Linked DNA regions of Lepisosteus oculatus. The protein of the gene in region 2 interacts with the protein of the main gene of each other region in a pairwise test. Links are inferred from orthologs where the notes say so. Each region holds a gene or a part of one and is shown on either strand. Other genes may lie near its edges. The genes, in order: sox14 and naif1.

The links.
Region 1: the proteins of naif1 (region 2) and sox14 interact in binary tests that used the Homo sapiens proteins (3 or more experiments, as listed by UniProt). The two-hybrid records come from large-scale screens. The link is inferred for Lepisosteus oculatus from reciprocal best matches to the Homo sapiens genes NAIF1 and SOX14.

What each region holds. Positions count from the first base shown.
Region 1 is NC_090708.1:12,131,400-12,143,673, reverse strand, and holds sox14 (transcription factor Sox-14), read right to left. Parts: upstream 5,156-12,274; 5' UTR 4,762-5,155; coding exon 4,045-4,761; 3' UTR 3,213-4,044; downstream 1-3,212. UniProt on the Homo sapiens protein: Acts as a negative regulator of transcription.
Region 2 is NC_090719.1:15,239,348-15,251,429, forward strand, and holds naif1 (nuclear apoptosis-inducing factor 1), read left to right. Parts: upstream 1-7,429; 5' UTR 7,430-7,552; coding exon 7,553-7,994; intron 7,995-8,998; coding exon 8,999-9,052; intron 9,053-9,799; coding exon 9,800-10,275; 3' UTR 10,276-11,339; downstream 11,340-12,082. Other genes in the region: calcium-binding mitochondrial carrier protein SCaMC-2-B, read right to left, coding at 3,322-3,654. UniProt on the Homo sapiens protein: Induces apoptosis.

The DNA.
Region 1 (12,274 bases), on a different chromosome or scaffold from region 2:
AATGCTATTACACCTCGGTGTGGAAATCCCATTCCCTGCCCTGCGACAATAGACGAAAGTACAGGCGAATTGCAATCCTCTGTCTGTACCCTCAACGCAATTGTTTTGCAAGCTTGTTTTCTTTGAATGAATCTCATCTTAGATTTCAATAATTACTAGTTCTAAACCCACTTACCTAAAAAAGGAAAACCTGGCACCAGCGGTGTTATGTTTTTATTTTTGTCGAGCTTTTCAAGTTAAAAGAAGATGGTTGCTGGTATGTGTTCTGAGATGATCCCCGCACGTTGTTTCATGTTTGACTATTTAAATGTGGCTTGTTAGTAATATGAGGCATTTTGTTGTTTGTCTTTAGAAAATTGGGAGGATTTTATTAACTTTGATCTTTCTTAAGGGCTTAGGCACGCCCTGTAATGTGTAAACGGCTAGCAAAGATGCGAGCATGTAGGCGGTGAATAGGAGAGAGGGGTTTCAACAACAAAAAATATGAATAAGCCAATGGGATCCATTGATGACTGAAAATTACTCAAAAAATTAAACATCAAAAACTGAAATCATATAAAACAGCACCCTTGCAATATGGAAAACGATCTCGCACTACTTAGGAAACGTCATTCCTTAAATTGGACGATAACAAGTCTTCCAGGACCTTCTTTTCTTGAAAACTATATTAAATAGTTTTAAATAGTAAATAAGAATTTGCTAACATTACAATGAGAATGTTACTAATGTTTTTCTTATACATCTTCTCATTTCAGTGGGCCTCTACATCACTTCCTATTACGCAACCTTAATAAAAAAGATTTGTTTCTCACGGTGGTAGTATTTTAAGAGTTGTATTCCAACATGAGGATTTAGAACTTATCAGTTCTTCTACAAAGTAAAGCAAATTAGACTACAACTAAGTTCAAACTAATTGCCTGCTTGGTAGCTTATAGATCACCTTTCCCAGTTCCATTATGTATAAGAAAATCACCATGCCTGTATAGCAAAACAACTCAGTTCTGTAATAGTTTCACTAACTGCAATGCTAGCAGTTCTTTTTTTAAGCGACGCTAAAGGAAAACCAGCTTAAAATGCTACAGCCTCTGCTTCTTAAAAAGTAGTTGTATGTTTTTTTCTTATTGAAGATAACATTTATAACGTTGCGCATTTCGTGATCAAAATCATTGGAACCAGTAACAGCTCGCAGGGCACACGTTACAATTGGGGCGATAATAATAAGATAAAAACAATTGCTGTGGTTTTCAGCTACAACCTCTCCTCAACCCGTACAGACCTTCACGTGCCCGTCTGCACAGCTGAAGTTAAGAAATGTTGTCTAAGTACAGACAAGCATCTCGTGCGTTTTAATGATTTTCCTCTGAAAGACAGACAAGGTGCTGTCAAACAGGTCGGACAAGAAGAAATGCCCTCGAGGGAAGCGCTCTCCTACACGTTTGGATATCAAACGTAGTAATCGTTTCACTTCAGTGTCACGATGATTGAATAACATTGCTTGCACAACTGAAGGCAGAGACCAGGTTTTAGGAACCAGATTACAAACAGGTCTGCGAACCTTTGTCTGCGAAATAAAAATGAACATGGCAAAACTGCAAAATTACAAGCCACGTGAAATACGCACCTCAAACGGCAAACAACAATTCAGCAGTGATTAAAATGATTCGTGACTCCATGCGACCAAAGGGGAAATTAAGAGCTACAACTAAACACGTTTTCCTTTTCTTGGTATGTGCTTCACTTGTTTAATTAAGTACGAAAGGGTATGTAGCCTGAGAACTAGAATCAAGTTATACCTGAAACATTAAATGTTCAGCAGTAACTAAAAGCATGAAATTCTCAGTTTCTTCAAATGTAGCATACGCGATCAATACTATACATTTGCTTTTTATTCTTAATGGGAAGCATATGTAAAGGGACTATTCGCAGTCTTGCCCAATCTCACTACTATTGATATTTATTTTTGTTTTGCAAAGCTTAAATGGAGTAGACCTGTCTGACATGGACACACGCAAAACCGGATAAGAGGTGACAGCAAATGTCAGTCCGAGTTACATCAGGTGGGCCGCGGCTCTTTGTTGCTGACCTTCCCAGTGCATCTATTATCAAAGCCCGGTTCGTTCACTTTTTCTCGAAGCGCCCTAGATGCACTCCGCCCTACTCCGTTTAAGAAATTAACTCGAAAGCTGCGCCAAAGCAAAAGCGATAATTGTTCACCTTTGAATGCTGCTCGAGTCACTCTTTTCACTAATTGTCCTTCTGTGTGAAGTGTTTTGTGAAGCTAAAACAGCGTGGATAAGCTTTCTAACCACCCCCACTCTCTAAACTGATTTTCCCTCTTTTGTTTGTCCCAGCCTGATCTTTAATTCATCCGCTCGTATTTTGAGGCTTCTATTATGTTACCGGGTCCCGTGTTTGTTAATTGTGTTGTGCCATTTTTCTGACAGTCTCGCTACTACACTTCTGGAAACGTTGCGCAGACAAGACGGATCACATTGCAATTCAGTGGAACCAGATGGACAACTGCTACTCTCTTTAATGAAAAGCCCCAGCTTCCTTTAACAACCGGGCTGATAAATGATCCCTGCTAACAGTTTTTCAAACACTACTAATTGTCTAGCACAACATGGTTAAGCTGCCTTTATTTCCTTGCTACGCTTCAACGCTGTAGCCTTTTCACACCGAATCGCAAGCAAGTGTATTTCCCAAAGAAGCGTATCCACAAATACACCAACGACAGATTTAGAGCAATTTCACTACATAAAGATAAAAACACGTAACAAGACTAATATTCAGAAGAAAACTGAATTGCACTCTTAAGTAAACAAAACATAAGCCTGTGGTATTTAATATAGTATTAAACTAGAAAAACATCGCATCTTAAACCATAGTTCACCTTGTATCTTTGGCACGAGTTTGAGATTCAACTCCAGGTCACACGGACTAAAAGATAAAATTGAGTGAAAAACAAGCTCTTCAGAAGTTTCACAACGTGTCAATTATATATCCCTCTTATGTTCGTGCACTTGTCTTTAACACAAGCATCCCTCAGTTTGTAACACGGAGAAAAATCTTAATCTTATGAAGTTTGAGCAGTAGGCCAAATGCCACCAGGATTCATTTTTGGATGCAGGGGATGTGTCCAAATCGGTTTTTTTTCTAACACACGCAACTAAATTATAAGTAATATTTGCAATATATAATCATACAACATATTTTATATTTTTGAAGACAGATTGTCTTTATTCAAAACGTCTGTGCCCGTCAAATGAACAGAGATACGAGGTAACATCCTTCTGGATACATTTTTTTTTCTTTCCATGACATACTTTAACATGATTAAATTACCATTTTAGTTAAAAAATACAACATTAAACTGCCTGACTTCATATTTGAAGTGCTCTCTAAAATTAAATGTAACGTGTGACTATTTGCACTGGACCACAAAAAAGTAAAAAATAAAATAAAAAAGCATAAGGACTGACTTTTTTCATTGGATATTTTAAATAAACAATCTAATTTATTGTGCCTGTTCCATAAATATAAACAATATATTCCGCATATTTTTTTAAAAATTCAGAACTCCTATTTTTGACACTTGTGATTCAAAAAATTCTGTGTCAAGATATTATTATATTTTTACATGAAAATGGTACTTCTGAACTGTGCAAACCAAAAATGTTTTGGAAATAATTATAATATTAATCATTAAAACAAAACAGTTATTATAGCATCAAAATGTACATAATAAATAAACTTAAAGGCCGCCTTTTTATTTCGGTAGCCAGCAATAAACGTTTTAACATTTACAATTCTTACAGTTCTCGGGGCGCCTGCCTTATAGCTATTCCAAGTTCCGTGCTGAGGTCTTTGTAGAAGCGTCCTGTTAATAATCATAAAAAGTTTTTTGTTCGTTTTCTTTAAAACAGAAGTCCACGGCTTCAGTTAGTGATTGGTCATTCATTTCTTTAAGTTTTTTTTTTTCTCACAGTCTTTTATTTACATGCATTGTAGTATTCAAGTTTCAGAAATAAATCTGGCTTAATGTTACATAGCAGCGGCGTGGGCTGAAGAGTAGGGGTCTATTCCAGTCTTGGTCATACCTGGGAAAAGTATGTAGGCAACTGGGGGCTGTAAACTAGACGCTGACCAGGCGGTACAGTTACAGGGAACCACGTAACCCGGGTTTGTGGGTGACGGGTGGGTGTGAGTGTGCTGACTGGGGCAGCTCAAACTGCCGAAAGCGCCGTTCTGGTATCCTAAGGAGGAGGCGTAGGGCAAAGTGCTGGTGGTCAAAGTGTGGGGCACCTCTGCCATCTTCTGAATGGCACTGGAGCTGAACTGGCTGGGGTCGAGAAAGGAGTAAGGCGCTGAAGTCGGTGGGAGGAACGCCCTGGCTTTTTCTGATGAACCCAAAAGGGAGTCTGTGGCCGAGACCGGGAGTCCTTTCAAATGATCCGTGTCCCCGAGGTAGGGTAAGGGAAAGACATACCTGTCTTTCTTCAGCAAATTCTTGGGTTTGCGTCTAGGTCTGTACTTGTAATCTGGGTGTTCTTTCATGTGCTGCGCTCTCAGTCTCTTCGCCTCGTCGATGTAAGGTCGCTTTTCAGATTCCGAAAGCAGTTTCCATTCGGCTCCGAGTCTTTTGCTGATTTCCGAATTGTGCATTTTGGGGTTTTCCTGTGCCATTTTCCTCCTTTGGCCCCGGGACCAAACCATGAAGGCATTCATGGGTCTTTTAATGTGATCTACAGGCTTTGACATTTTAAATACCGTCCTTTTTTTATCCCCTTTTATAAGAACAACAGAAGTTAGTTCACCAAGCAGGAAATCAGTTCACCTGTCCCGTAGATCGTAACTGATCATACCAGTTCTCAGATGAGTGGAAAAAAGGCTAAAAAACGAAGAAGAATAAAAAATCCAGGGGCCGATTCTCCAGTAATCAACACGAGAATAAATATTTTCTTCTTGAAAAAAAAATGGGTTCTGTACTTCAGTGGCAATGTATGGTAGCCGTACATATGCAAGATCCACCAAGGTGATGCGAGTTCCGATGGCGATTAGGCTTAAACTGTTTGTATTTTTCTTGGAGGTGTCTCGCCTTGCAAAGCACCTGGCTTGGAAATGAGGAAAAGCTGGTGAATGAGAGCCAAAAGCGGTGAAGTTCAAAGGCTGGGCTGGTTTGGTCTGCACGCAATCTGACATAATCGCAGGGCGTTCACTTACCAACCTGGGCGCCCAATCAGCACGGAGAGAGAGACGTAATACCTTTACAAAAAATATGTATATTACTACATAAACAAAGATTGGGGAGGAAAAAAAAGGGTTACTTTTTTTCCCTGCCCGAATCCATTTACTCAAAATGGTACAAACATAGCCCTTCAGCCTTCTTGCAATAAAACCAGGGTTTTAAGGGTACAAATCCTAAGGAGATAGCGGCAAACGAACCTCTCTGAATCCCAGTCTATGCAAACGACTTAACCAAAGAATTCAAAAGTCCGTTTTACATATTTGCTTACAAAACATTACCGTTTCTAATACCAATGCAAAATGTTGTCACTGAAAATACAACTAGAAGCCGACTTTAGACACCCTTTTCTACAGTTTGAAACCGTTATCTTTATATACTGTTCGTATATGTGGAAATTCATAGTGTCGAATATTTTGACCAAATATTTACCAAACATTACTCGAGGAAATTAGTTCTACACTTCAAAACGATGAAACCACATTCTAAATATTATTAGCAGTCTAGGAAATCAACTAGCAAGAGCTCAATTCAATAAATAATAGTCTGTCTAATGTGACAATCCCCTGAAGGGAAATGTGTATTAAATGAGAACAATTGTCCAGAATTCCTTTGGGACGTAGCTGGTTAAAGCTTTCATTTTTTGCACCTGTTTTTGCAGCACTAATCTCAGTACACAACGACCTCGTGTAGAACATGCCTGGATTCTGATTTAATGGTCGCGTTCTGAGCCCCCAAGAATCGAAAACTAAACGTGGAAGATACAATTGTGCTGTTTGCAATGTTTCAAAACTAAAAACAACAACAACAACAACAAATGAAGTATGATAACATTTACAGTAAATGTGACAATGTGGAATGTTAAAAGGGGAATTCTGAATGATCTTTTATGATTGTGGTGCCGTTTTAAAATACATTACGTCGGTACACCTAGTTTGTCCCACAATGGTTTCTAATTCCATACGAATCATTGTTTATTTTTTACTGTCCCGTTTTAACATATGTCCCAAGTACAATGTGACACACCTATCATCTGGCAATGGTCTTGCAATTTAGATTTTTAGCTATTTAGTACGCGAGTGTGCTTCCCCAAAAGAGGATAGCACGTAATAATAGTTACAACATGCAAATTCGTCTGTTCAAACAGATCACTGCTTCAGTGACCCGCAGGCAAAACGAGGTTGATGTATGACTCGCTCAGTTGTGATTATTAAGTGAAATGTATAAGTGATCCCTGATAAAATGAGTCTGGCACGAAGCTGAAATATGAACAAGGACTGAAAATATTAAATGTGTGTCGTTTTAAAAAAATCACTTAGGTATTTCATTCATAAAAACAGAAAATAAAAAAAATACAATTTTAAAAGAAATTGAATGAGAAATAAAATGTAAAACACACAGTCATAAGTGAAATAGCAATATGTTTCACCATAAATATATATAGCATATTATATAAAGTATATTTGAATGTTTTCTTTTGAAGACTAATGCGCTCTTTGTATGCTATACAGTACATTTGCAGTCGTTGGGTACAACCATATAATTAATTCAAATATTGCCTTTCAATTTAGTCCTTAGTTTAAAGTTTTAACATATTACAATGAGATATGGTGTACATTTTTATGTTTACCCCTATTATTACATACAGCTGTTGCATTTTTATCCAAATCCCGTAAAACCCTCATAGCTAGCGTACAGTATATGCTTTGAAGAGGGAGAGAAGTCCGTAGTTAATCCAGTAGGTTGTGCTCGACTGCAGAGTACCTGCCACCTAAACACTAACCCAAAACAAAGTCAAATTTTGCGAACTTTCAATTCCTCTTTTGAGATGTGGCGCCTCACCTGCTTGGTCTCCCAGGGAACTTTTACTTTCCCTCCGCTCTGCATCTATGGAGACGGCTGGCTTTCTCGCTGTATGTTTTCATTTTCTATTATTCTGATTGTGTGTGCTGTTGTTGTTGCTGTTACAAGCCGTGAAATAATGACTTAAAGCATGTGTTTGGCTAATTGAAGTAATTCGCTGCTGTGGTGAAACGTTTTATTTAGCTTGTAATCGGGTCACGAAGGTTAAGTCAGAGAGAATGAAAATTAAACAAGAAACTGTTAAGTTCGTTTAGAATTTTGGCTTCACAATAAAATGCATTAAGTATTATAATGTAACACGGGATGTTTCAGATGTTTTTTTTCCCTAGAAAAGGAGAAGTTGATGCCAGTGAATTGTTTTTTCCATAAATATTCAAATTTACGGAGGGGGGGGTAAGATATTAAGTATTCCTGTTCTTTCTTCAGTTGTACACTTAGAACAAAATCAACATTCAAATTATCTTCACTATTGTTCTTTAGAGTCTCTATAGAAGTATTAGATTACAGAACCTGAGCAGATCTGATTTTTTTTCCCGTTTTACTTTCCTTTTTCGTTCCTGTAATATTTCTACTTTTTTAAACGTCGTCTCTTTTCCCCAGCGTTTTGTAAGCAACGCAGCTCGAAATTCCGAGAACATCAAAGCGTTATAATTGCGACAATATAAATTACGGCAGGAATTAACAAGAATTATCAGGGCACATCACATTCCAGCAGACAACGTCTATATTTACATGAAAAGAGGCTCGGCGCACCGAATTAGCTGAGAATGCGAAACCCGTAATTAAGTGGTAAGTAAGCGTCAGTAAATGAAAAGGGAAAATCAGGAAGTGAAAAGGTGGCAGAAGTGAAAGAGTGGAGGAAACAAAAGTGATGTGGTACTCAAGGTTACCCATCCTCTATATTTGGAATAAACAGATAGTCCAATGAAATATATGCACACACACAAAATCAAAGAAGCTCTCAAATCCAGTGCTTTAACTTAAAACACACCTGCTTTTTCGATTTAAGGCACGCTGCCTGTATTTCAGCTCAATAGAGGTGCTATCATACATCTCAGTCTTTAGATGATGAAAAATCAAGTGGGGGGAAACAGACGAATACTACTCATATCAGTTTCATACGCTTCTCATTCACAATTTTAACTTTTTATTGAGCATTAGGAGTTCATTAAAATATTGCCTTTTTATCCTTAATTAATTGACTTATGCCCCACTACATAATACAGTGATAATAAGCGATGGTTGTTAAAACGACTTTTGAAAGGCATTAATTGCGTCTAAACATAGGGCGATAAGGCCATTTCAAAAACTCGTCAGCTGTAAACTAATGCTAGACCTGGATTCGGAATTTGGGAACACACAGGTACGTATACAATAGACTATGTGTTGTAAATCGAGATCCCTGGTAAAATGTATGAACAAACCAAGTGGGTACGTATACGCACAGAAACACATAAAGAAGGACTTTGTGTTTTCAAGACGACCGTCACAGATAGCTAAATGGTGTGCATTTCTAGGATTCTTGCTGTTGTTAACAGTGTGCCAGTCTAGCAATCCTACAGCACTCCATTATTTTATTTAAGCTTGAGGTACTGATGCGATGTGACATTCTAATATACCGTCACTGTTACAAGATACCGCATCAGGAAGCGTACAGAAGCTTTTGAAATCGATGAAAGCAAGAGAAACGGGATAGGATAATCAGTATTAAAAGGCTATAGCACAGAACACCACGCAGATTCATACAGTATAACCACTTTCCCTGTTTCGGTTTCAACTTGCAAATTGCTTCTAATGTATAAACTTCGTATTTTTGTGTGAACTAAATCGCTTAACAGTAGCGGAAGGAAACGAAAGTCAAGAGGTAACGTCTCCACGTGTTGTAACCGTGGCAGTTTCACAGGATGAAAAGTGTTCGTTTTGTCGGGGAAAGGCAAGCGGCAAAGACTAGGTTTTATTAACGCGTTACGTTTTTTTCTTCCCAACAATACCTAGATTAGCACCTTTCCTCTGGAAGGGGTTGCCCCCTACACAATCCATAACATCGCGGAATTTACAACTGGAAGGAAAATATTTTATTTGTGCTTCACAGAGAAAGCCTTTCATTACAACAACCCTGACAGTGGTGTCTTCTATATAACCATTAAATGCAATATAAGCAGAACCCCAAACAGCAAAGAATAAATAATGGTATTTATTAAATTGATGTTGCAATAGTATACATCCACGGATACAGACGGAATATTGTGAGAGTGACAGACGGGCATTGTTCACTATTAATAGTGTCACGTCATTAGTGCATAATAATGCTATTTAAGAGTGTTAGGGGAAATGTGATAGGGTTTTCTTTATTCCAATTAAGGTGGAAAAATACATTCTTACAAAGCAACTTATTATTACTAACATGATTGTAAAGCACTAAAAAGGCATAAATATCCTCAATATATTAGTATATATATCCTCAGTATTGATTTGTTGAACACCTGTCTATGGTACAAACGAGGGAGTTCAGCCAACATTTCAGAGTCAGTCTTCGTTGAATGTGGTAAACCTCGGTTTCGGAGTGGATTTTAGATGGAGCGCGTAAAATTGGGACCGACTTCCCTGTAAAGTATGTGCTATCAGTCTATGAGTGGATTTAAATGTACTTTTAAATGATGTTTTGTTATTTCGCAAGCGTCTGAATAAAGAAAATAGTTTATGGTAGGCCTATATTTTGGAAAATGAAGGACTCTGAGAACTCATTTGAACTCCAGGTCTTAGAGTATATTTTTCGAGTAATGAAAAGAGGCTAAACGCATAATTTGATGCTCAAAACTTTATTGTAGCCCTGCTTCCAGATATAAGCTTACAAGAACATTATAAATGTATAAAATGTGTTTGGTTATGATGGTGTATTTGAGTATTTATTCAGAATCAGATATGAAATGTGCTGTTTTACATCATACGGGATTAACATAATTTATTGTTTCTTTCTGTATGACTATTAATACAGGTTCAAAACTGCTATTTTCTAACCGAGTTAGGCTGCGATCGTTGCAGTTATAAGAGTGTTATAACACAAGCGTTTTTTTTAAATAAATGTGTTTAATGTTTTCATATATAGAACACATACGCCCACACAAAATAAAATGCCCTTTCATCCGTTCTTGATGCCAATATATTGTTTACTCTTATTTCTGATTTGTGTTTTATCAGTTGCAAACTACTGTCACGAAAAATAACGGTAAAGTTTCGACCTAGAAACATAATTCAAATATGTTTCTGCAGTGGAAGAAAACTAAAGGTTTCTCTTCTGTATACTACTTAACTTCACCGGGGAACTCAATTATGATCAAAGTCTCAGTTGCAATGGCGATTTGGAGACTCGTTTATGCAGTAGAACTGTCTGCCTCACTCAAAGACGCAACAAAGCGCCCAGCACAGGACTTGAACCCACAGGCCTCCAGGCTGGAGTCTGCAGCCCCTAACCATTACTGTACTGACAATGTACTGACGTAATGGTCCGGTAAGGTTAATATGTCTTTAACTTTGTTACATAAATGACCTGAAACTTTAGGGACAAGTAGGACTCCAGCCATCGAATTTTATGTCTGTTGGTTATCCGAAACACTTATTTTACTAAACTATCCACGTGTAATGTACGTGCTATCTGGGTCAAGTGTAGAGTCGCTTCAGTTTAAATCTAAAATGAAAAGTAGTGGACTCTGAAATGGTTGTGATTTTGCATGAAATAATAAATTACATTTTAAAATATAAAAGGATTTATGGATTTTATTTCAAACTAACGTTAACGGGTGCACATTCTCTAATAAGAAAAAAAACAGCATATTTGCTATGAGCCCGAATGCTCAGTACAATCTTTGAAAGTTGAACAGCTTTTTATGCCTATTATAAAGGTCAATAACTTACTTTCCATGACTAATAAAACCTCACAGCACTCCAAAAAGACACTTGAACACAAACGTTTGCATAGTATTAGGTCAACAATTAAGGATAGCATCCAACAGGCTATTTTTGTTTCACCAGAATAGAGCAACTGGACAAAACCCAAGAAACAAGATATAGGATGTTGGAAATGTAACCATAAGCAACAACACAGCCTTGTACATACAACAGAATGAACAGTTCAAAGCACTGGTTGGAAAAAAACAGCCTGATAACAGTCATGAATATGCTTTGCTTTTGAGCTGGAAGGCTGACTCTTTTCTTCTTTTGGCAATGTCTGACACATATACTCTAAGGTGGTTTACTTCATGTTGTTTTTGAACCTCTAGAGTTAACTCGCATTTTGCACCACAATAATAAACAAGATGTGAAAGATCCCTGCTGTTATCTGGAATAGGAACCAGGTCCAGCATTGTGCCACAGAAAGATGCATTTAGTCTTTTCGTGTTTGGGATGAGTATTGATGGCCATGCTCACCTTTAAATGATCAGAAAACTTGCTAAGAATGCTTTATCAAAGAGAGAAGGAGGCTTAGAGATCTCTGTGGTTTCCCTTTCATCCTTTCATGCTACCACTGCAATAAAATGTGTAACTGGACCAGACTGTGTGAGTGCTCTCTCTGGTGTCACTAAGCCAACAATGTGTATAAGACTGTAAGACACAAGTGAACAAGGTGTGTCATATTTACCATCTTTTATTGATTTAAATACTGAGTGATGTTACAGAATATGGACTACAATTCTCATTCCTACTTTTAAATTGAGCATCAAAAGAAACATATAGCTCCGTGCATATATTGATAATTCGTTTTTGGCACTATTCTTAATTACTAATTTATTTGTGATTGGCTGTGATACACGTGAGTGAGGTTGATGATTGAATAAGCACTAGAACTTGAGAGAGAATTGATTGGGCACAGAGGGGAGGTTCAGCTTAATGAAAATCAAAGCCGGAAGAAACAAAGATATAAAAACAGGAAGAAAGGGATATGTCCCACATATGAGGACAGTGCCTTTGTACTATCAATATTTTGGAAAATGGACAAATGTAGCATTGTGTTGCTCATTGTTTGGGGTTATCAGAACCAGGAACTTCTTACCTGGCAAGATATTCTAGCCAAACACAATCTATTAATAATAGGTCATGACCAAGGAGACCATGAGTCATGACACCAGGTCAGGACTGATGCATCATTATGCTCCTGTAACGATCTTGTGT
Region 2 (12,082 bases):
CTAGAACGAGCTTCTAGGGAGATCAGACCTGGAATCAGCCTGGAGCATTTCACTGCCGGGACGCAGTCTCTGAACTTCTTTAAAGGGGAGCTGCAGCCCCAACTTCTCAGACCGGTTATAAAAATGTCGGCAACAAACTAAATATGGCTCTGGGCATACCTGGAAATGTAGCCTATCTTGTGATGTAAATTGGAGGGTTTTTTTTTTGCTGTGTACATTTTACTTTTATTACGATTTGAAATGCACTCATCAATTCTGATTATTTCTAATCCCAAAATACGAAAACAGCATCGCATTTCCCCTTTAAATAAAGCACACTGCATTGAACCGATGCAAGACGTATCCGTACGTGATGCTGTATTTCAACAGCCCACGACTGACCCGAGAAAATCCAGCCCAGAACATTTGCAAACGTTCCCAACGTCACCACACCTGATTTGCATCGCAAATCAAAACGCCCTGTTTCACTCCGAGGTTTGTTGACAAAGAAAGCCACAGCAAACCTCAACTCATCTCACTTACACTAATCCTCAAGAAAACAATGAACTGATAGGAGAGGAGGGGAGGGGTGAGTGTTCTCCTCGTCTGGGTTAGAAGATCTGAATGTAAGACTACTGTGAACAATCGCTAAACAGGCTCCACTGTGTATTGCTCAGGAGCGTTAAACAACTTCTCAAAGACAGAGTCGATACTTCCAGGGAGCACACCCGGCCCGTTATTCACAGGGGGCAGCCGGTCAGACTTAAACCCAGACGGTCAACGGCACAAACAAAGCTTGAACTGAGTTTTATTCTCCTTTCCTTCCAATGGCACAAGTATGGATCGCTTGTCCGTTTTCTAGCTGCTGCATCCAATCCAGGGCAAGCCGAGTGCCAGGACGGGATGCCAACTAACCTGGCAGCATGTTTCTGGACTGTGGGAGGAAACGCGCTTGAACCAGGGGAGAACATACAGACTCCACACAGACAGCACCCCAGGGCCAGAACCGAAACCTGGGCCCCGGCGCTGCGAGGCGGAAACGCTAACCCCTGTGCCCCCCGTTTGACAGGATCTCCTGTCAAACAGACAAAGGTTTGCTAACCCAGCAGACTTTCCCAGTGGAATCGGATTTCTGGTCTAAATTCTTGAGAGGCCTTGACACCCCTAATTAAAAAGAAAGCACAAAAGCATAATTCCACGAAAAAAAATGATACTGTAATTGTCATTGTCATGTAAATCCCCTGCTCCAGCCAGTTTTCGAGAAGCCTGTAATTGTGAGTGTGACTGCATTAAGCCCAGTGAATCACAAGACTCATCCGCACCCAACCTCGCTCCCTGCTGGACCGCGGCTGGCTGCACACCACAGCCCGGAGTCAGAACACACTGGAATCATACCACACCGCACAGGACAGTCAACCGAGAGAAACTGGCAGACCTCGGAGCCACGAGAGGGCGAAAGCAGCCACTCATATTCAGAGACTCACCCCTGCTCACGAACGGCAATTCAACACCTTCGCTGTCAGAGTGGGGTCCTCCACACTCAGCAACACAGGATTCAACACCTTCGCTAACTGGTCAGGACGCTCAGGTGGGCTGAGGGGATTAAACTGCTCACCAGCAGTCTGCATTCCTGAGGGTGACGGGAAGTGATTCATGATCGCGAACGGACGCTTCACATTCAGAGGTGCGGCCTGCCACTCAGCTGCTCAGCAGACAGCAAGAGAAAGAAAGCAGAGACCCCTCTCCTGCAGCCCCTCTGCGTATGCGTGCAGATCGGCACTCCTCTGCCGCTGCTTCCTTCCTGCAGCGAGCACACATCTCTTTCTCAAGGGCTGTACAATCCCGCGGGGGCGACCTCACGAGAGGTCACGAGAGGTCACGACCCACGATGAGGTTTGTCCTTAGGGGAAGCGCACGTGTGTTTCTTCAGCCTCCACAACGACAGGCCCGCGTTTACGTTCATAAAATCGCTTACACACCACCCGACACAGCATATTGTTCTTCAAACATTTGTAATCGCATTAAAAAGGCTTTGAAAAGAACCTTTTAAAGGTGCTATATCTAATAAAGTCATACAGTATCAGAGAGTATATGAGGATATGAGGGTTCTGGCAGTCCGGCTGGGCCCTGAGCTTCTTCAGAGACACTCTGTTGCTCAGGTCCAGTGTCCAGTAGGACAGGAGCTGGTGTCCTTGTGCTCTCACGTGTCCTTCAGGGCTGCCGGTCACTGAGGAGCTCCGATTCCTCACACAGCTCGAGCCCCGGCGACTCATTCGCACTTGGCCCTGGGATTCAGGAATCCAGGAATCCGATGAAGTCCGGGGTGAAATCTACCAGACGGGACTGGAGCTGACCCCGGTTTCCAGCTCTGGACGCCCGCAGAGAGAGCTCTGCAGCTCTTCCAACTTGTCAGCACATCTAGACCGGGGAAGACCCGTTTACCTCAGCCAATGTATTTGATCTTGAGGCGGATATCTGACTGCATCGTTTCAGGTCTGTTATGTGCCGATATCGGTGTGCAGACCACACAAAGTGAGACAGCCCTACGTTATAGTGCCACTTCACCCGAGCACTCCGATTCCTAAATAACAGCTGCCCATCCTCACTAAGACTATAAACAACATTTAAGAATGTAGCCCTTACTTCTGAGTAACTGGGACTGTTGACATGCAGTCTTTGGTGAAGCTTCTTTCCTTCCTGCAGCTGCTGTGGGACAGAGCGCTGTCCCACCACAGGACACATCAGAGACATCCCCCCCTGCAACACGTCCACACACTGACACTCCAGACCAGACCAATGTCACCAGTAAAGCACACACACTCCGAACAGCTCTAGCCCTGATCGCCACCGGCTTCTCCGAGCATAGGAGTTATTGGCAACAAGTCATTCCTGTTTCGTGACACATTCCAGTGCTTTGGAAGACCACTACACAGAAAACACCTGTGTAGCCGTCTTAAAACGTGCGACATGTTGGCATCTCCCAACCGCATATACCTCTGTCGCGATATTATCATCCTTATAATAGTTGTTGCATTTATAAAATTGTCTAAACTTTTACCCTAGACCGTGCGAGACCACCGCGACCGCTTCTCCTCGGGTGTATTAAACCCGCGGCAGATCGACAACTTCTTCGAGAGGGTGTTTGCGGGAGACTGCGTTTTGCTCGGAACCGAACCGGGCGAGAGACGACGGTAAAGTAAACCTCAGACCCAGCGAGCCTGGCGGCCGGGCAGCCTGGCGCCGAGCCGACGGACACACACGTGCGAGTCAGCCTGCCCCCGCTCGGACCGGAGGCCCGTCCCGCCCCCAGCGGACCCCCGCTCGGACCCCCGCTCCACTCACCCTGAGCTCCTTCTCGGTGCGGTGCACGCCCAGCCTCGGGAGCCCGATGGTGAGGTCGTTCACGCAGATGCCGCCGTCCTGGTTCACGTCCAGGATCTGGAACAGGACCTTCAGGCGGTGCTCGCGCTCGTGCTCGTGCTCCGGGTCCCAGCCGCCGGGGTTCGGGTTCGGGCTCGGTTCCGGCTCGGGCCCGGCCGGCGGCTCCGGGGGCCGGGGCGGGCGGGGGGTGCCCGCCCCGCCGCCGGGGTCCGAGCCGGGTCCCGAACCGGGTCCGGGATCCACCGGGTCGCACTGGCAGAAGACGCCGCCGAGCACCGGCCTGTGCTGCTCCATCGCTCTGGGGTCTCTACAGACAGATGTTTCTTCTTTTTCCCTCCTTTCTTTCCCGTCCTGTTGGCTTCGCTACCGTTTCTGGCTCAACGCCGGACGCGTGAGGACTTGTTTTAAAATAAATAAAAAATAAATAAATGAATGAACCTTAAAAAAAGGAGGAGGAGGATGGAGAGAAAGGGAATAATTGCTGCACAGTTTCGGAAATCCCAGTCTGAATCTCCCCTCTGCCCCAGCGGGCGGAGTGTGGGCTCCGGGACAGCGGTCTCTGCTCCTCCTCAATTACACACTCGGACTCGGGCCCCGATCTGCTCCGATCGGTCCGTTTCCCTCCCAGGACTGGCAGCTCCGCTCCCGAGGGCCGGGTCTGTGTGCGGGACGGGTCCGGGCGGGCTTGGCTCTGGGTCCTGACAGCTGAGACGGCCGACAGACGCCGGTGAGTGGAGGCCGGATTCAGGAAGTGAGTCACCGGCTGCCGGCGGGGTGGGCGGGGCCCGGCGCGGATCGACGGGCCTCGCAGCCAATCGCCCTCCCCCGTGTCCTCCTCCGGAGGCCACACGCCCCGCCCCTCTCCTTACCAAAGCACGTTTTTGTCACACGGCCGAGACAACTGTGCTTGCATAGACCCTCTTCAAGAGTTTCACTTGTAACTGTGGGGGAAACAAAAAGACTCTAGGTATTGCGTGTACTAGGCATTCCAATCACAATGTTGCAAAATAGCTTATGGTGACGCCGGTTTTTCTCTGTCGCCTGCTGCAAAGAAATGACGCCTTCATTGTGTAACATGATGCAATTTTTGGGATTGCAGCGTAAGGCTGATTCCTCGAATCGCAAGAGTGAAGAGCGATAGAAAAAAAAGAAGTCAGATGGCGCACATGAATAAGAAAAAATACACATCAATTAGTGAAAACGTCTGACGGGATTTCGGACTTAATTTAATTTTAAACAGCATTGCAACCGCGATTTAATCACCGTGGGTTCTCAAGTGTGCTGATAAAATCAGCCCAAGGGTATTAAAAGTGGATGTCAGGAACTACCCCCCACCGCGCTGCTGAATTCAGCTCGCTGGGGTCTTTGAAGACATGGTGCGTTGATGCTCCTGAAAACCTACCCGACAAGATGGAACTGCTTGTGTTCTGCAGGAACCCATCTTGTGCTGTAATACCAGCATGCATCCATCAGTTGTATTACGAGAGTGAATCCTGGATGCATATCTACAGGACCAAATGAAGACCTAGTCTAGTCCTCTCTTAATGTGAAAAGACACCCCACACTACAATTTGTGTTTCAAAGGTCATTTACTCTTGTAAGATAAGCCCCTCAACATTGAATTTAAGTAAACAGTGAGGCAAGTCTTTTTAAATCACATTTTACAAGGGTGTTGAAAGTCTAAGAAGCACATTCCTAGCCTTGGGCTGGAGTAAAGATAGTTGCACGTAGAGAGGAGGGCGAATAAAATCATTGCACAATACTTTACTCTTAAAAGTATTGGGGAACCCCCACCCCTCAAACAGCACAGGCTCACCTTCTGTGTTTGCACTGCTGCCCCCGAAACAGAGCTTTTTATAAGGCTGCAAGACATACAACTGTTGTCCTTGGTGTGACAGCACTGACTGCCATATAGTCAGGGATACGGACAGATAACTAACAAGATCACTTGGCCAAGGTAAAGGAACCCCAGAAAAACAGATCAGTTCTCAGTGGCAAGAAATATAGATCTGGTTAGAGGATGGTCAGCCAGATGTCCTTCACCTTCCCCAGCTAAGGCAACCCACAGGTCCCAGTTCCGAGCTCAGTTCAGTGTACTTCTCATGCGCTCAAGTGCAATGAAATGCTTATTTGCATGTCTGCTCTGATACATAGACATCAAGTAAGCACCAAACTTAAAACACAGAACAGCAGCAGCAACCACAAGTTAAATAACATCAGCTTAAAAAAAGTCAGACAAGCAGCGTGATAAAAACACATCCGTGTGAGCCAGGGGAAGGGGTGGAGTTCGGTAATCTGACAGCTTGTGGGAAGAAACTCTCTCTGAATCTAGAGGTTTGTGCCTTTATGTTCCTACAACGCTGACCAGAGGGAAGGGGGAGAAAAGTGAGAAACCAGGATGACTGGTGTGCTTAACGATACTTCCAGCCTTCCTGAGACAGCGAGTTGTAAAAATGTTCCAATGATGGACAGGGCTGACCTGCTCACCCCCTGTGACACCTTCCGGTCAGACAGTGAAAACCAGTGGAACACGCACTTCAGACCGACACACTGTACTCCTCAACACAGTCCAGAGCCACAAGCTGTTCAAGATCTACTCACCGCTTATAGAGGATCAACATTTTCAGATGGTTTTGTGAGCATATTAGGAATCAGAAACTCTCATAGATTTAAGATTTTATGTTTCTGTGTACTTTTGTCATGCTCTGAAATTTGGTTTAGTATGATTTGCAAACATGAAAATCTGCATCTATTGGCAGAAATTCTACAAAATCGCAGGGAGCAGTGCAGATTATCACCGGCTCTGCGCTGTAGCCCTGCCTCCTTCTCCAGGCGAGTAGCAGAAGTAGGTGTTTTGTGTAAGAAATACTACTTATATGATGTAACCTGCAGTGCTGTTTTTTTTTGTGCAAATCATCCTAAATTAGGAAATGTGTCCAGAAGATTTTTCTTGGCTTTTCCATTCATCTGTAACCTCTCTCACAGAGCACAAAGAGGCACATGAGCATTTCGAGATGTCGAATTTAATAACCAAAAATAAACCAACCCCCGTGCCCAGTCTCTTTAAAAATAAAAACATTTATGACAGTGGAGTTTCTGCTGGTTTTAAAACGTTTCAGCATTCACCATTCGTGCAAAGTGAACAGTTCAGATTATCTTGGGGAGTTTTTTCTCCAGCAAAGGCGATGGCTGTTTACAAACAAACTTTCAGAGTTTAGAGGCATCTGTGCAATAACTTCCTCACTGGGTGGAGGCTGTAGCTGTAAACAGTAGAAAGATGAAAGCAGCCGGAGGTTTGTTAGATGATAAAAATCTCTTCTTGCAAAACAAGTTGGTACAGAGATACAGTGTAAGTGGATATTAGAAGGTAAGATCATATTTGATAACCTGAGAATAAATTACAAAGTTAAAGGACATATTTTCCTAGGCGTAAACATTTAACACTATTTTTCAATATTTGTATTTGAAGTAACGTACAACGTGAAACCCATTTATAAAAGCAAACAGAGGCTACACGCTCAGTTACCCATTACAACCAGGGCTGTGCAGAATTAAAACCGCCAAGAGCAACTACAACCTTTAGCAAAATGAAAAGCTGTCTTTAAAGCGGATCACTCCCGTTAGTTTAAATATCCGCAAAGATGCGTATAATTTAGTAGCATCAACGGAGATGGGGGCGGGGGGGACAACTCACGAAGCCTTTTTTTTTATTTTTTACAAGGTTATTTTACAGACCGAAAAAAATCCCACACAGGTTTCGAAAGCCGCCGCGATTAGATGCGGTACAGAGATTGTTATATAAAAAAAAACTTTGCGTACAAAAAATAAACAGCAGTCGGCTTAAAATGCCTTTCCGACCGCTTCTCCACACAGCGCCCAGACTGCACACTCCCTGCTCCCCGAGTGCTCGTCTGCTCAACGGGGCCTCAATGGCGCCTACGCTTCCTGTGATTGACAGGCTGGCGTGCGAATCGCTGAAGGGAACCGAGGGGGAGCCCCCCGGGCCCCAACCAATGAAACCGCGGCGTGCGGAGATGGGCGGGGCCCGAGCCATTACGGACGTAAACGTTGCCTGCAAGAGGAAGAAGTCGATTCTGGAAGCCATTACGCTGCGCAGATCTATAGAGTAAATCCCACGGTTTCTACGCACATTACGTACATTATTCTTAAAAAAAGAAGAATTTCTAATAAAATGGCATCTCAGGCCAAGAAGAGGAAAATGAATTTCTCGGAGCGGGAGGTGGAGATTATAGTGGAGGAGATGGAGAAACAGAAGCACGTCCTGGTTAACCACTTCAATGCCGGTGTCACACACATCACCAAGAACAACGCGTGGGTCGAGATCCTGAAGCGGGTGAACGCCGTGACGACCTGCCTGCGGGAGCTGGCCGAGGTCAAGAAGAAGTGGTCGGACCTGAAGACCGAGGTCCGGCGGAAGGTGGCCCAGGCGCGGGCGGCGATGGAGGGGTCCGGCGACTGCACCTCGGTGCCGGTGATCCTCACCTCCATGCAGCAGCGCATCTGCAACCTGCTGGGGGAGGCGACCATCATCAGCCTACCTGCGGGGGACGGGGGCACGGAGATCACGGTGCCCGTGCCCATGAGCTCGGCCACCACAGTGACTCTGACCCAGAGTAAGTGCGCCGTGAACACCGGCTCCGTCAGTGCACGGGGAGAGAGACATCCCTTTCATACCCGGTCACTCAGAGAATATACAGAGCTGTGCATTGCCGGAGATGGCTAACAACGCGAACAGGAACAGCTATAGAAGTGGCTTTTGAAAATGTTAGTTAAAAAAAGAAAAAATACACGCAATAAGAAGCGCACGGTTACAACGCTGTTCTGCACTGGCGTTAGCACGTCTCGAAAGTCGAGCTCGTTCACGTTTTCCCAGCCTAGAGGAGACGTCTTTTTCATTGCACTGCAACATCAGCCTCAAACGTCTAGGCGCCGGACTCGGCTTTTGCAGAGTAAATAAAGCAGCCGAGTTAACTGCCTGGGAGACAAACAGTCTCACGCCTCCTCGTGATTTCTTTCATGTGTCAGTAGGTGGGGCCTTTTGCGATTGGATGCCGTCTTCAAAATCGCACCTGTGTCACAGTCTGAGACTCATATGAGTCGCGCTATTAATAGATGCGCGGTTCAGATTACACGTGTACAGTTATCAGGCTGCACAGACCAGCGTCTGGGCGGCGGTGACGCTAAGGAGGCTGAGCTTCGGGATAAACGCACCGCAGACGAACACTTCTCTGTTCTGGGTAGAACTGTAGTCGGGTTTATGTGTTGTGGCCTCTAATTCAAGGATGTTTGCTCCCTAATGATGGTAGTTTTGTGAGGTGCTCAGGAAATCCATGTGTCACAAGGAGTTAAGCTGACTCCCCTCATGAGTCAAAATAAAAAGCGAAGATGTGCTTCCTGTTCCCAGTTTCAGATGCACTTTTCTTCATGTTCCACCTGCTGGCTTCCTCTGGCTCCTGCTTTCAGAGCGGATGTACTGGGTGAGCCGGTGACCGCGCAGCAGAGGTGCAGGGTGCCCAGTGTGCTCTGCTGCACCAGTACAGTGCTGCAGGGAGCAGGCCAGGCCCTGCAGGGTCTCTCAGCGAGGCAGGGACTCACCGTCTTTATTTTTAACTTGCAGACATTCAGACGGCTTCCTCTTCGGCAGCTTGTGAAGTACAGAAAGCGCTAGAAGGTAAAACATTTTTCTTAAGAGTTGTTTTTACACCTGAGCCATTCCCGAGAAGCCAGGTGGCCCCTCTGTACGGTGAGCGCGAGGTCGCGGGGCCGCAGGCCGGCCAGCTGACGCAGACGTGGACAGCTCAAGGATTCGATTATTGCCATGCTCAAAATGGGGGAAAAAAAAAAGTACTAATGTGGTCCTTTTGTGTAAAATGAGTACATTCAAATTAAATGTCTTTGTTATTTAAGTATTCTTGTTTCCTGACCTACTGGCATTGGATAATACTAAACCTGGAGCTCCTGGATGGAGTTGAAGTTTTTGCGCGGAGAGTCCAGCGCAGATCTTGTGCGTTAGTCCAGAATAATGTGTTCAGAAGGAATACATTCCACTGCAGGACCGTGTTGAGCCCTGGGTGGCACACAGGTGTAGTGGTGAGCATCCCTGTGCTGCTGCCCCGAGGTCCGGGGTTCAGTTCCTGGGGTGCTGTCGGTGTGGAGTTTGTATGTTCTCCCCACATGGTCCCCAAATTGACCCGTCTGTGTGTCTGTGTGTCTGTGTGTCTGTGTGTCTGTGTGTCTGTGTGTCTGTGTGTCTGTGTGTCTGTGTGTCTGTGTGTGTTGTAGCCCTGAGGTCCTGGGTTCAGTTCCTGGGGTGCTGTCTGTGTGTGAGTGTGTGTGGAGTTTGTGAGTGTGTGTGCCCTGCGATGGCCAGACTCCAGAGCCTTCTCAGTGTTTGTCTGTTGCTTCTTCACGCCGGCAGCCGAGACCACCTACCACGCGCTGGAGGAAGGGGTGGTGGAGTACTGCACGACCGAAGCCCCCGCCGCCGTGGCGACGGAGACCCCGGTGGAGATGATCTCGGCCCAGGCCGAGTGCGCCATCAAGCCCCAGGAGCTGAAGAGCCGCATCGCCCTCAACTCGGCCAAGCTGCTGCAGGAGCAGAAGGTGACCAACCTGCACGTGCGGGAGATCGCGCAGCACCTGGAGACCCAGAACGACCTGCTGCAGATGATCCGCCGCTCGCAGGAGGCGCAGGCCTGCGCCCAGGAGCGCCAGGCCCAGGCGCTGGAGGGCACGCAGGCCGCGCTCATCGCCCTCATTCAGATGCTGCGCCCAGCGCTGAAGGACTTCCGCAAGTTCCTGCAGAGCTCCGGCGGCAGCCCGGCCCCGGGGCCCGGCACAGACTCCGGCGAGCCCAAACCAAGGCCCCCGGCGCCGGAGGAGGACGCGCAGTAGGACCCCATCGCGGGCCTGGGCGGGCCAGGCGGGGCCAGACTCTCGTTCGTTCGCGAACAAAGAGAAAAATTGCCGGTTGCGGCGCCGAGGCGGTGCTCTGTAGTGCATTTATTGAAAAGTTAATAGGGATTCCGGACTTTTTTTTGTTCCTCCAGCGAGCACCAAGATGCATCGCGCTGTATGAGCGGTGCGCTGGTTGCGCAGCCCCCTGGCTGGAGGGCATCTGGAAATCGACCTTCGCGCCTCTGTGCAAGCCCCAGCCTGGCCGAGGACGAGGGGAACACCAGGCTTGGCGCACGCGGTTGGACCTAACTGCCCTGTGGGAGCCACCCTCATCCTGGTGTGGGCTTTCGTTTCGGTGGGGGTGGGGAGGGTATTAAGTGTAGCTGTCAGCTGTACGTGAGTGAGAGTTGCAATTTCACAAGTTTTGTTTTTTTCAAATGCAGTTCAGCAATGGTGAACGGTATTCACTCGCTGAGACCTGTGCGGACCTCAAATAAGCCCAGCCTGATGACGGGCATCTTTCTCTCGGAAAGCCGGTACAAAGGAAGAGGTGTAGATCATGACAGACCTCTCTTACACTACCCCAGACCCCTGTGGGCGTGCTGGGAACGGGGGCCGAATACAGACAGGCGACCGTGTCTGACCATGTCTGACCGTGTCCGGGGTGATTTGTTGTGCAGGAGCTCCCCCTGGCGGTGTCTGGCCAGATGGCAGTTCTTCAGGAGCGCCGTGCGGAAAGAGACACGGTGTGGCCCGTGGCATCCCGCCCCGTGTAGTGTGTGTCCGGGTCCGTCACGCCGGCGCGGGGGGGCTTTGGGGCTGGGGGGGTCGTTGTCAGGGTTTTATTAAATCTGGGACAACACTCAGCTCATCTTGGCTTGAACTGTTATTTCAGCACTTGCCTAGTTCTTTTTATTACTGCCTTCCCCCCTTTGTATTTTTATTTTTTATCCCTGCGGAAGTGAGAAGAGGGAGGAATGCATTCAGTCGGGCGTCTTATCGACTCTTGTTTCGTTTTCCCTTTTTTTTTTCCTTCTCCAATAAAAAAATGATGCCTCCTGTTACACTGTCCTTTTTTTTTTTTTTTTTTTTTTTTTTTTTACATGAACTCACGATTTTGATCTGTCTCTGGGGTTCTGCAATGTTGAAGGTAACTCTGCCCACGGACCGTGGAATTCTACAGTTTTATTGCAGCATCTCTGCTCCCTGGGTTAAAAAGCCAGCCTTCTACATGACTGCCATGATATGAGATACACTTTGTTGAGCCAGCTTATGGATGCCCTTGTAATAATATGATTTTAGTCCCTGCAGTTTCTGCACTTTGACACTGTGAGACCTGGACCTCCTTCTCAGCACTGGGAGAGCTTTCTTTCTGCTGAGAACACACACACACACACAGCCTGGCTTTACACAGTCGTCCTGCCCACCTCAAACTCTGGATTTCAAGGCATGACAGTTCAAGATGAAGAAATTATAGATATGTGATCCTTTCATTAAAAGGATAGTTACATACAAATTACCTCAGAGCCTGGGTAGATGTATTCCAGTCGCGCAGTGAAATAAAAAATCAGACCACCTCTGTAGCTGAGGACGGGGCTGGAACAGAACCAGACGACAACAGGCCTCCCAGGAGCTCAGTTTGAGAGCCCTGTCCATGGAGTTACTGAAAACATTGTTGGCTGTGACTGCTCAGCTGTGTGATTTGTACAGTCTGTTTGTACGTGCCAAGATTACAAGTGTGCTTCAGCAATTTGAACGCGAGTGCTAATGGGGATATTCTTTCATTGTGTGCTGGATCTGCGTG